Daphnia pulex: one gene and its partner. The protein of the gene in region 1 purifies or fractionates together with the protein of each later gene. This does not show direct contact. Links are inferred from orthologs where the notes say so. Each region holds a gene or a part of one and is shown in the gene's direction. Other genes may lie near its edges.

Region 1 (3,498 bases):
GTTAGAAGCATTATGATGCTGTATTTCTTTAGATTGTCAACAGGTTAATGCAAATATGGGAAGAGAATAATCTTCAGTGATGAAAATAAAAATTACATCAGATCAGCCAATTGGTAACAAACAGCTTCCATGTTTTGATTGATCTTGTCTTGAACCACAGCCAATTCTTTCTTCAAGTGATGCACTTCACGCATGAGAATGTCATTTTCAGCATCCTCAATATGTTGCATGTCTTGCAACTCTTGTTTAGCCAATTGCAATCGAGCCATCTAAACAGAAAATCAACAAGTTTAATAAATCTTTAAATCTTAATCTTTAATAATTTTTTACCAGTTCCAGCTGCCTTTTCTCATAATCCTGCACTTTGATAACATGCAATGTCAGTTCAGGCTGCATGTTTCTCAATTGGCACTCAATTTTAATTATTTCTTCTGAGATTCGCTTAAAGTCTTGAGTTATGTCTTGAACAAGTGTACGAAACTGGATAAAGTCATAATTTGGTCCAGTGCTCAGATAAATCTTATGCCCTCTGGAAAGAAACAATACATGCAAAAATTACCTCATGTGAAATTTTTTAAATAACATTGTAACTCACTCATGAAAAATCTTGTAGGTGTGGACCCTTTCCTCTTGCAATTGCTGGAATTTCCTCAAAAGGCCATAAGCTGTGACTCCATCCATGTTGAGAATTATAATTTTACTAACGTGTAACGAACAAAACGGAATGAACGATCTAGGTAAAGAAAAGATACGAATTGTATTGTATATTTAAAAGGAAATAAGCCTAGGTTATACAAATAATTACCTTTGGAGAAACAGAGTTCTTATTATCACGGTTGCGAAGGTAGGTTTTCTATCCTCGTAACATCACGACTTGTGGTTCCAGAATAAAGAGGACGACTATATTTTAAGGGTGACGACCCGGTCCTTTCATCAACGCCCCTAGGGTCAATTCTGAGACAGACAAAAAAAGGGCTGGGTTACTGGGTTGGAAAAGCTGAGTCTGGCCTTTAAAAAACCCTCTACAATACACTAGGGAGTATGAGATAAGGATTTTTTAAAAAACAGCCTCTGCCTTCAGCCAGTTTTCTGACTTTTCTTGAGACTATTGAAGGACGCCGAACTCGAATTCGAAAGTTGAATTCGACCTCTGGCTAGATAGATATTTTTTGATAACATGAATAATAAAATATACATCAACAGTTTGATACTATTACCAGACGGAAATTGAAAAAAATTGTGATTAAACTCACCATTAAATCACACGAGGCGGACACAAAACTATCTACCCTAGCAACTGCCACTGAGTCTAAACCTCGTGTGACTTTTTGACTTTTGAAAGCGTGCTCTCGCCAACTTGGCCAATTCAAGTCCTCGGGCAAAAATATTTGCATAGAGGAGCATCTAGTTATATCTTTTGGGTACAGGTGGCGCTGGTGTTTCGTTATGCTTTTTCGCTGCTGTGTTTACTCTGTCAATTGTCATTTTTGGCATCCAACATTTGCCTGAATAATTTATTAATATCTATAATTACTACGATATATCGGATTCGACCAAGGTCAGTCTAGTCGGATACGGAGATTTTACAAGCGATGACCTCATACTAACGAGTAAAAAGGGTAAAAGTTTTTGACAAAAAATGTCGGAATCATTCACCATCCAAGTGGCCGATTCTCTTCGGAGATTTGAGCCGAATTCTCCAAGATCTTCTCCAAGAGGAAATCGAAGCCCAGTTGTTCCCAGGCAACAAGATTCCACTGGAACACTGAAAACCACCATATCACTTGGAAAGACCCCAACAATTGTTCATACCGGACCATTTTATCTTCACAAGGAACTGCCAGGTATACATATTTTACGTGACTGTATCATTCTTTCACTCAAGGTAAATCTATCGCAGGAGATACTGACCTAACCGGAGCAACAAATTTAATGGCTCACTACAATTTGGAACATTCATACAACAAATTCAGTGGCAAAAAGTTCAAAGATTCGCTATCTTCATTCTTACCTGGATTACCCGGCATGATTGATACTCCTGGTAACACAGACAATTCATCCTTAAGATCCATCATTGAAAAACCTCCAATCGGTGGCAAGGAGTTGGTATTCTTGAATTCCTCTCAACTTGCAGGATTCCGTCTTCATCCAGGACCAGTAAGAGACTTTTAGACAGCAAATCACATAATTGTTATTTTAATTTTCACATCTTTATTTCATAGTTGCCTGAGCAGTATCAAACCTCTTCCCTGGCCCCACTGAAGAAAAAACAGAAACACAAGAAACACAAAAAGAGTAGCGAGATCTCAATTCAAGAAACTGGAGCTGGAATCGCTGGACCGGGCATTGGAGTAGTAGGAGAGGGAGGAGCCGGTTCGGGCGGTGAATCCTACGAAAAAAAGCATAAGAAACAAAAGCGACACGAAGATGAGAAAGATCGCAAGAAGAAGAAGAAGGAGAAGAAGAAAAAGAAACAGAAGCACAGTCCAGAACACCCAGGAGCATCAGCCTCAATCGGTACTACAAATTCAAACAGTAACCCACCTGGAATGATGCCCTTACTTTGAGAAACCTTCTTGTCACGTCGATTTATTTCGAATTTTTTCTGCTTCTTTCGAGAGTATAAATAAAATTCCATTCAATGAGTGAATTTTGGTTTATTATTATTCATTCTTTCAAATATTTTCTTCTAAATCGGAGTTTGAAAGCTATAGCGTTGGCTTGCCCGAAAACAATGATAAGCACGTCACGATAGCTACACGCAAGTCACAATCGCTCAAATGATATGATCAATAGGGTAAAACAACTTTATATTCATTAATTACAAATACTAACAGTGAATGTTCGAACGCAAATTTGTCAACTGCTGTTGGTTCAAATTTCTTGATGAACCGTACCATGACTAGATAATTATTATTGCGACGACTCGTACGACAAAACGAACGAGTAATCATTTAAGTACAACAACTAAAAGTAACAAGCGAATCAAGTGATGTCCGGTGTGTGTTGCTTGGTCGATTGATGATGAGCTTTCAAGTCGGCTCAACCTTTTTACGCTGTTCGCTTCCGGCGGCCACGTAAGAAAACACGCAGAGAACAGCGTAACAAATCTGATCCGCCTGTTTTGTTTAAAAGAACAAAAAAAGGTTGATTAATATAATAACAAATGATTCAACAGAAGACACAGCAAAAGAAAAATAAATAAATAAAAAGCAGGTCAAATAGCAAAACGAAACTTGCCTTTGACCGGATCACAACAAAGAAACAGAATAAGTGGATTGCAGACCGTCTTTATCAAACTGAAAGTTTAATCCACTCAACAAGACTGTTGAATGGCCATAGACACGCGGACAGAAAAGACACGATGGATTGCTAATGCTATCTCGTTGGCCTAAACGGTAGCGTGCAGGTATAAAGGTTAAAAATCAGGCAAACAGAAAAATAAATGAAAAAAAGGAATAAACATTTTTCAATTAATGAAATAATAAGGCATGCAAA
Region 2 (4,586 bases), on another chromosome or scaffold:
GTACTATTTCGATCCGGTCGATGGCGACTGCGAAGATTTCCTTTATTCCGGATGCGGCGCCACTGAAAATGTTTTCAACTCCGAATTGGCCTGCGAACTCCGCTGCGAAAATGTCCACGATCAATTGAACAGTCACGAGAGCATCGAGGTCTTCGGGCGCTATTGGGATTAATTGCAACGCACATCTTTTTTCATGCTCTGTTTCAATCGTGCAATAATTTTTTTTCAGTTTGATGTGTTTGTTGAATTTCAATCCAGGTTATACTGTACCAACTTATTATTGTTGACATTTTTCTCAATCCGCAGTTATCTTTTTTTGTTAACTTCCCATGTAATCCGATATAAATACAGTTGAAGTTTGATTAGAATACATTTTTTCAGTTTTAATATAATCAAGTTGGTTTACAATTAAAATTTAATTTAATTCAATAAATGAATCAAATCAATATAAATTATACAAATAAAACGGAAAACATAAAATTCGAAGCCAATTCGAATTCTCTCTATAATTCCGAGCTTATGTTTAAGTAAGTACATTTGAAATTCTGATATAAAGAGCCCGGAGCTAAATAAATAATTGTGCAATCATGTCGTGCATATATTTTTCAAAGGAAGACAATGATCAAGATGATGAACTGTACAAACCGGTTATCGATATGTGTGTGTTTAATTCTTTTGCGATGCGCGCTTTTCTCTTTTCTCTTCCTTTAGGGGTGAATGATTAAGCGGTTATTTTTATTTTGGTTACATCGCGAAAGGTCAAATTCATGTTTTTTCCAGCTATAATGCCCGATTGCAGGGCTGTAATTATCTCTAGCGGGACTATAAGTACCAGCCGGTCGACTCCTTCCTTCTTCAGTCGAAAGCAGAAGAAGGTTTTTCCCATTTGCTCCATTCAACTCCATAAACTTCAACCGGAAAATGTCGGCTACGTTCGTCGTTATGCTCTGCCTCGTCGCTTTCTCCTCTGCTGCTCCTCGTAAGTGATTTTTTAAATCTAAAATTTTAGTTTTATGTAACATGGGCTTTTTCAAGCAATGCTCTTTTACGATTTATGAATATATTTGAATAGAATTGGCGGTCCCAGTACCGGTATTTGCTCAACGACCATTGGATCCGGTTTGTCTCTTGCCACCACTCAACCCCAAAGTGCGTTGCAATCAATTTTCCATCAAGTGGTACTACGACTCTGCTACCAGGGATTGTGAAAAGATTTTCTACACTGGCTGTGGAGGATCTGAAAATCTATTCGCCAGCGAAGACCTTTGCGAATTGCGCTGTGATCAAGATAATTTCGACAGCTACGAGAGCGTTGAGGACTTCCAGCAATATCCCTCGTTGCAGAAATTCAGATATTTCGTTCTTGGCAAGTAATCAATTGATGTAAAATGCTTTTCTCTAGCACAACGTTGTTATTCTTTTATTTTAAAAAGTAATTTAAAGAATTGTTCTTACATTGATCACATGGATTGTCTTTCAATGTAATCTATATTATTCAGTTAAAATTAATTTTGAATACACTTCTTATTTACTCACACAATACGAGTTGTTTCGTGTTTTAAAGAAAATATTTTTTTACCGACTTTTAAATAAACCGGCGAAATTAAAATATATCCGGCAACGCCACCTTGCGTCTCATTTTCGATTTGGCCGGCAGATGTCGAAATTGAGTTTTTCCGACAAGTGCGACAACAGTGAACGAAAGTCGACTGCCGGCTGCAAAGGCCAACGAATCTTTACATTGCAGTCGTTTTCTAATTCATAATTAATTTGTCGATTCGTATAATAACACAATGTACGATCAAGACGAAGGTAACATCAAAATATGATGATATTCATACATTTTTTTCTCATTCTAACGTGTCTTTTACTTAAGATCCGATCGAGGATGAAGATGGCGAGGAAATCTCTTCAGAGCTTTGGCAAGAAGCCTGTTGGATTGTCATCAACGCATATTTCGATGAAAAAGGTCTTGTGCGACAACAGCTTGATTCGTTTGATGAATTTATTCAGATGTCTGTACAAAGAATTGTTGAAGATTCACCTGCCATTGACCTTCAGGCAGAAGCCCAGCATTCTTCGGGGGAAGTAGAAAACCCTCCGAGATATGTCCTAAAATTTGAGCAGATTTACCTCTCGAAACCTACACATTGGGAGAAAGATGGTGCTCCGACAGCCATGATGCCTAATGAAGCAAGACTAAGAAATCTCACCTACTCTGCCCCGTTGTATGTTGATATCACGAAAACTGTGCACAAAGAAGGGGAAGAGCAGGTCGAGACACAGCATCAGAAAACATTCATTGGCAAAATTCCTATCATGTTGAGATCCACTTATTGCCTGCTGAATGGAATGAATGATCGTGATTTGTGTGAATTGAATGAATGCCCTCTCGATCCTGGTGGATATTTTATCATCAACGGCTCAGAAAAAGTATTGATTGCTCAAGAGAAGATGGCCACAAATACAGTGTATGTCTTCAGCATGAAGGACGGCAAATTCGCTTACAAGACAGAAATTCGTTCCTGCTTGGAACACTCGTCACGTCCAACCTCCACCTTGTACGTCAACATGTTGGCACGTGGTGGTCAGGGCATCAAGAAATCCGCCATCGGCCAGCGTATCATTGCCATTCTGCCCTACATTAAGCAAGAAATTCCCATTATGATTGTGTTCCGAGCCTTAGGTTTCGTGGCCGATCGAGATATTCTCGAGCACATCATCTACGACTTTGAAGACCCCGAAATGATGGAAATGGTGAAACCTTCGCTGGACGAAGCCTTCGTCATCCAGGAGCAGAATGTTGCCTTGAATTTCATCGGTGCTCGCGGTGCCAGGCCTGGTGTCACCAAAGAGAAGCGTATCAAGTACGCCCGTGAGATTCTCCAAAAGGAAATGTTGCCTCACGTTGGTGTGTCCGACTTTTGCGAGACGAAGAAAGCCTATTTCCTCGGCTACATGGTCCATCGCTTGCTGCTGGCTGCCTTGGGACGCCGTGAGCTGGACGATCGTGATCACTACGGCAACAAACGTCTGGATCTCGCCGGACCGTTGATGGCTTTCCTCTTCCGAGCCCTTTTCAAAACTCTCATGAAAGAAGTCCGAATGTACGCACAGAAATTCATCGATCGAGGAAAAGATTTCAATTTGGAACTGGCCATTAAGACCCGCATCATCACCGACGGACTCCGTTACTCGTTGGCCACAGGAAATTGGGGAGACCAGAAAAAAGCCCATCAGGCCCGCGCTGGTGTCTCTCAGGTGTTGAACCGATTGACTTTCGCTTCGACCTTGTCACATTTGCGTCGCCTCAATTCGCCCATTGGTCGTGACGGTAAACTGGCCAAACCTCGTCAGCTCCAGTAAGTCATTGATTTCAAATTATTTTCATCGGCTTTTGTTTATTACATAACATTTTTTAAAACTATTTTAGCAACACGCTGTGGGGAATGGTTTGTCCAGCCGAAACGCCCGAAGGAGCTGCTGTCGGTCTCGTCAAGAATTTGGCTTTGATGGCCTACATTTCAGTCGGTTCCCAACCGTCGCCCATCCTCGAGTTTTTGGAAGAGTGGTCCATGGAGAACTTGGAAGAAATCGCTCCGTCTGCCATTGCGGATGCCACCAAGATTTTCGTCAACGGTTGCTGGGTGGGTATCCATCGCGACCCGGAGCAGTTGATGGCCACCCTGCGCAAACTGCGTCGTCAGATGGACATTATCGTGTCTGAAGTATCGATGGTGCGCGACATCCAGGACCGTGAAATTCGAATTTACACGGACGCCGGCCGTATTTGTCGTCCATTGTTGATCGTCGAGAACTGCAAATTGTTGCTGAAGAAGCGCCACGTTGACATGCTCAAACAGCGCGAGTACATCAATTTCAGCTGGCAGGAACTGGTGGCCACTGGTGTAGTCGAGTACATTGACACTTTGGAGGAGGAGACGGCCATGATTGCCATGTCGCCCGAGGACTTGCGCCAGGTAAATTTTCTGCATTGATTTTTTCTTTCCCTACCCCACCCCATCCAGCCGTTGAATGTTTTGCTTTGTTTATCCAGGGTAAAGACGCCTACTGTACGACGTACACGCATTGCGAGATTCATCCGGCCATGATTTTGGGAGTTTGCGCCTCGATTATTCCGTTTCCCGATCACAACCAGTCGCCTCGTAACACTTACCAAAGCGCCATGGGTAAACAAGCCATGGGAGTGTACATTACTAACTTCCACGTCCGGATGGACACTCTGGCCCACGTCCTGCAGTACCCTCAGAAACCTTTGGTCACGACACGCTCCATGGAGTACCTGCGCTTCAGAGAGTTGCCCGCCGGCATCAATTCGATTGTTGCCATTCTCAGCTACACCGGATACAACCAGGAGGATTCCGTCATCATAAACGCTTCCGCCGTCGAACGAGGATTCTTCCGCTCCGTCTTTTTCCGATCCTACAAAGATCAAGAGTCTAAACGATCGGCCGATCAGGAGGAAACGTTCGAGAAGCCTTTCCGCGATCATTGCCAGGTAACCGATCAGAATTCCGGAATTTTTTAACTTCTTCGGTAATCACATTTTGTTTTCGTCTAGGGAA

Evidence for each region.
Region 2: the proteins of mediator of RNA polymerase II transcription subunit 19-like (region 1) and DNA-directed RNA polymerase II subunit RPB2 purify together in Homo sapiens (affinity purification with mass spectrometry; 4 studies listed by BioGRID and IntAct, with this or other methods). This does not show direct contact. The link is inferred for Daphnia pulex from reciprocal best matches to the Homo sapiens genes MED19 and POLR2B.

What each region holds. Positions count from the first base shown.
Region 1 is NC_060023.1:10,280,217-10,283,714, forward strand, and holds mediator of RNA polymerase II transcription subunit 19-like, read left to right. Parts: upstream 1-1,422; 5' UTR 1,423-1,639; coding exon 1,640-1,844; intron 1,845-1,885; coding exon 1,886-2,157; intron 2,158-2,222; coding exon 2,223-2,567; 3' UTR 2,568-2,650; downstream 2,651-3,498. Other genes in the region: required for excision 1-B domain-containing protein-like, read right to left, coding at 93-269, 331-529, 596-681; MAP kinase-activating death domain protein-like, read right to left, coding at 3,033-3,119. UniProt on the Homo sapiens protein: Component of the Mediator complex, a coactivator involved in the regulated transcription of nearly all RNA polymerase II-dependent genes.
Region 2 is NC_060022.1:1,080,768-1,085,353, forward strand, and holds the start of DNA-directed RNA polymerase II subunit RPB2, read left to right. Parts: upstream 1-1,642; 5' UTR 1,643-1,793; coding exon 1,794-1,812; intron 1,813-1,876; coding exon 1,877-3,362; intron 3,363-3,433; coding exon 3,434-3,980; intron 3,981-4,057; coding exon 4,058-4,519; intron 4,520-4,582; coding exon 4,583-4,586. Other genes in the region: kunitz-type protease inhibitor 1-like, read left to right, coding at 922-979, 1,073-1,374. UniProt on the Homo sapiens protein: Catalytic core component of RNA polymerase II (Pol II), a DNA-dependent RNA polymerase which synthesizes mRNA precursors and many functional non-coding RNAs using the four ribonucleoside triphosphates as substrates.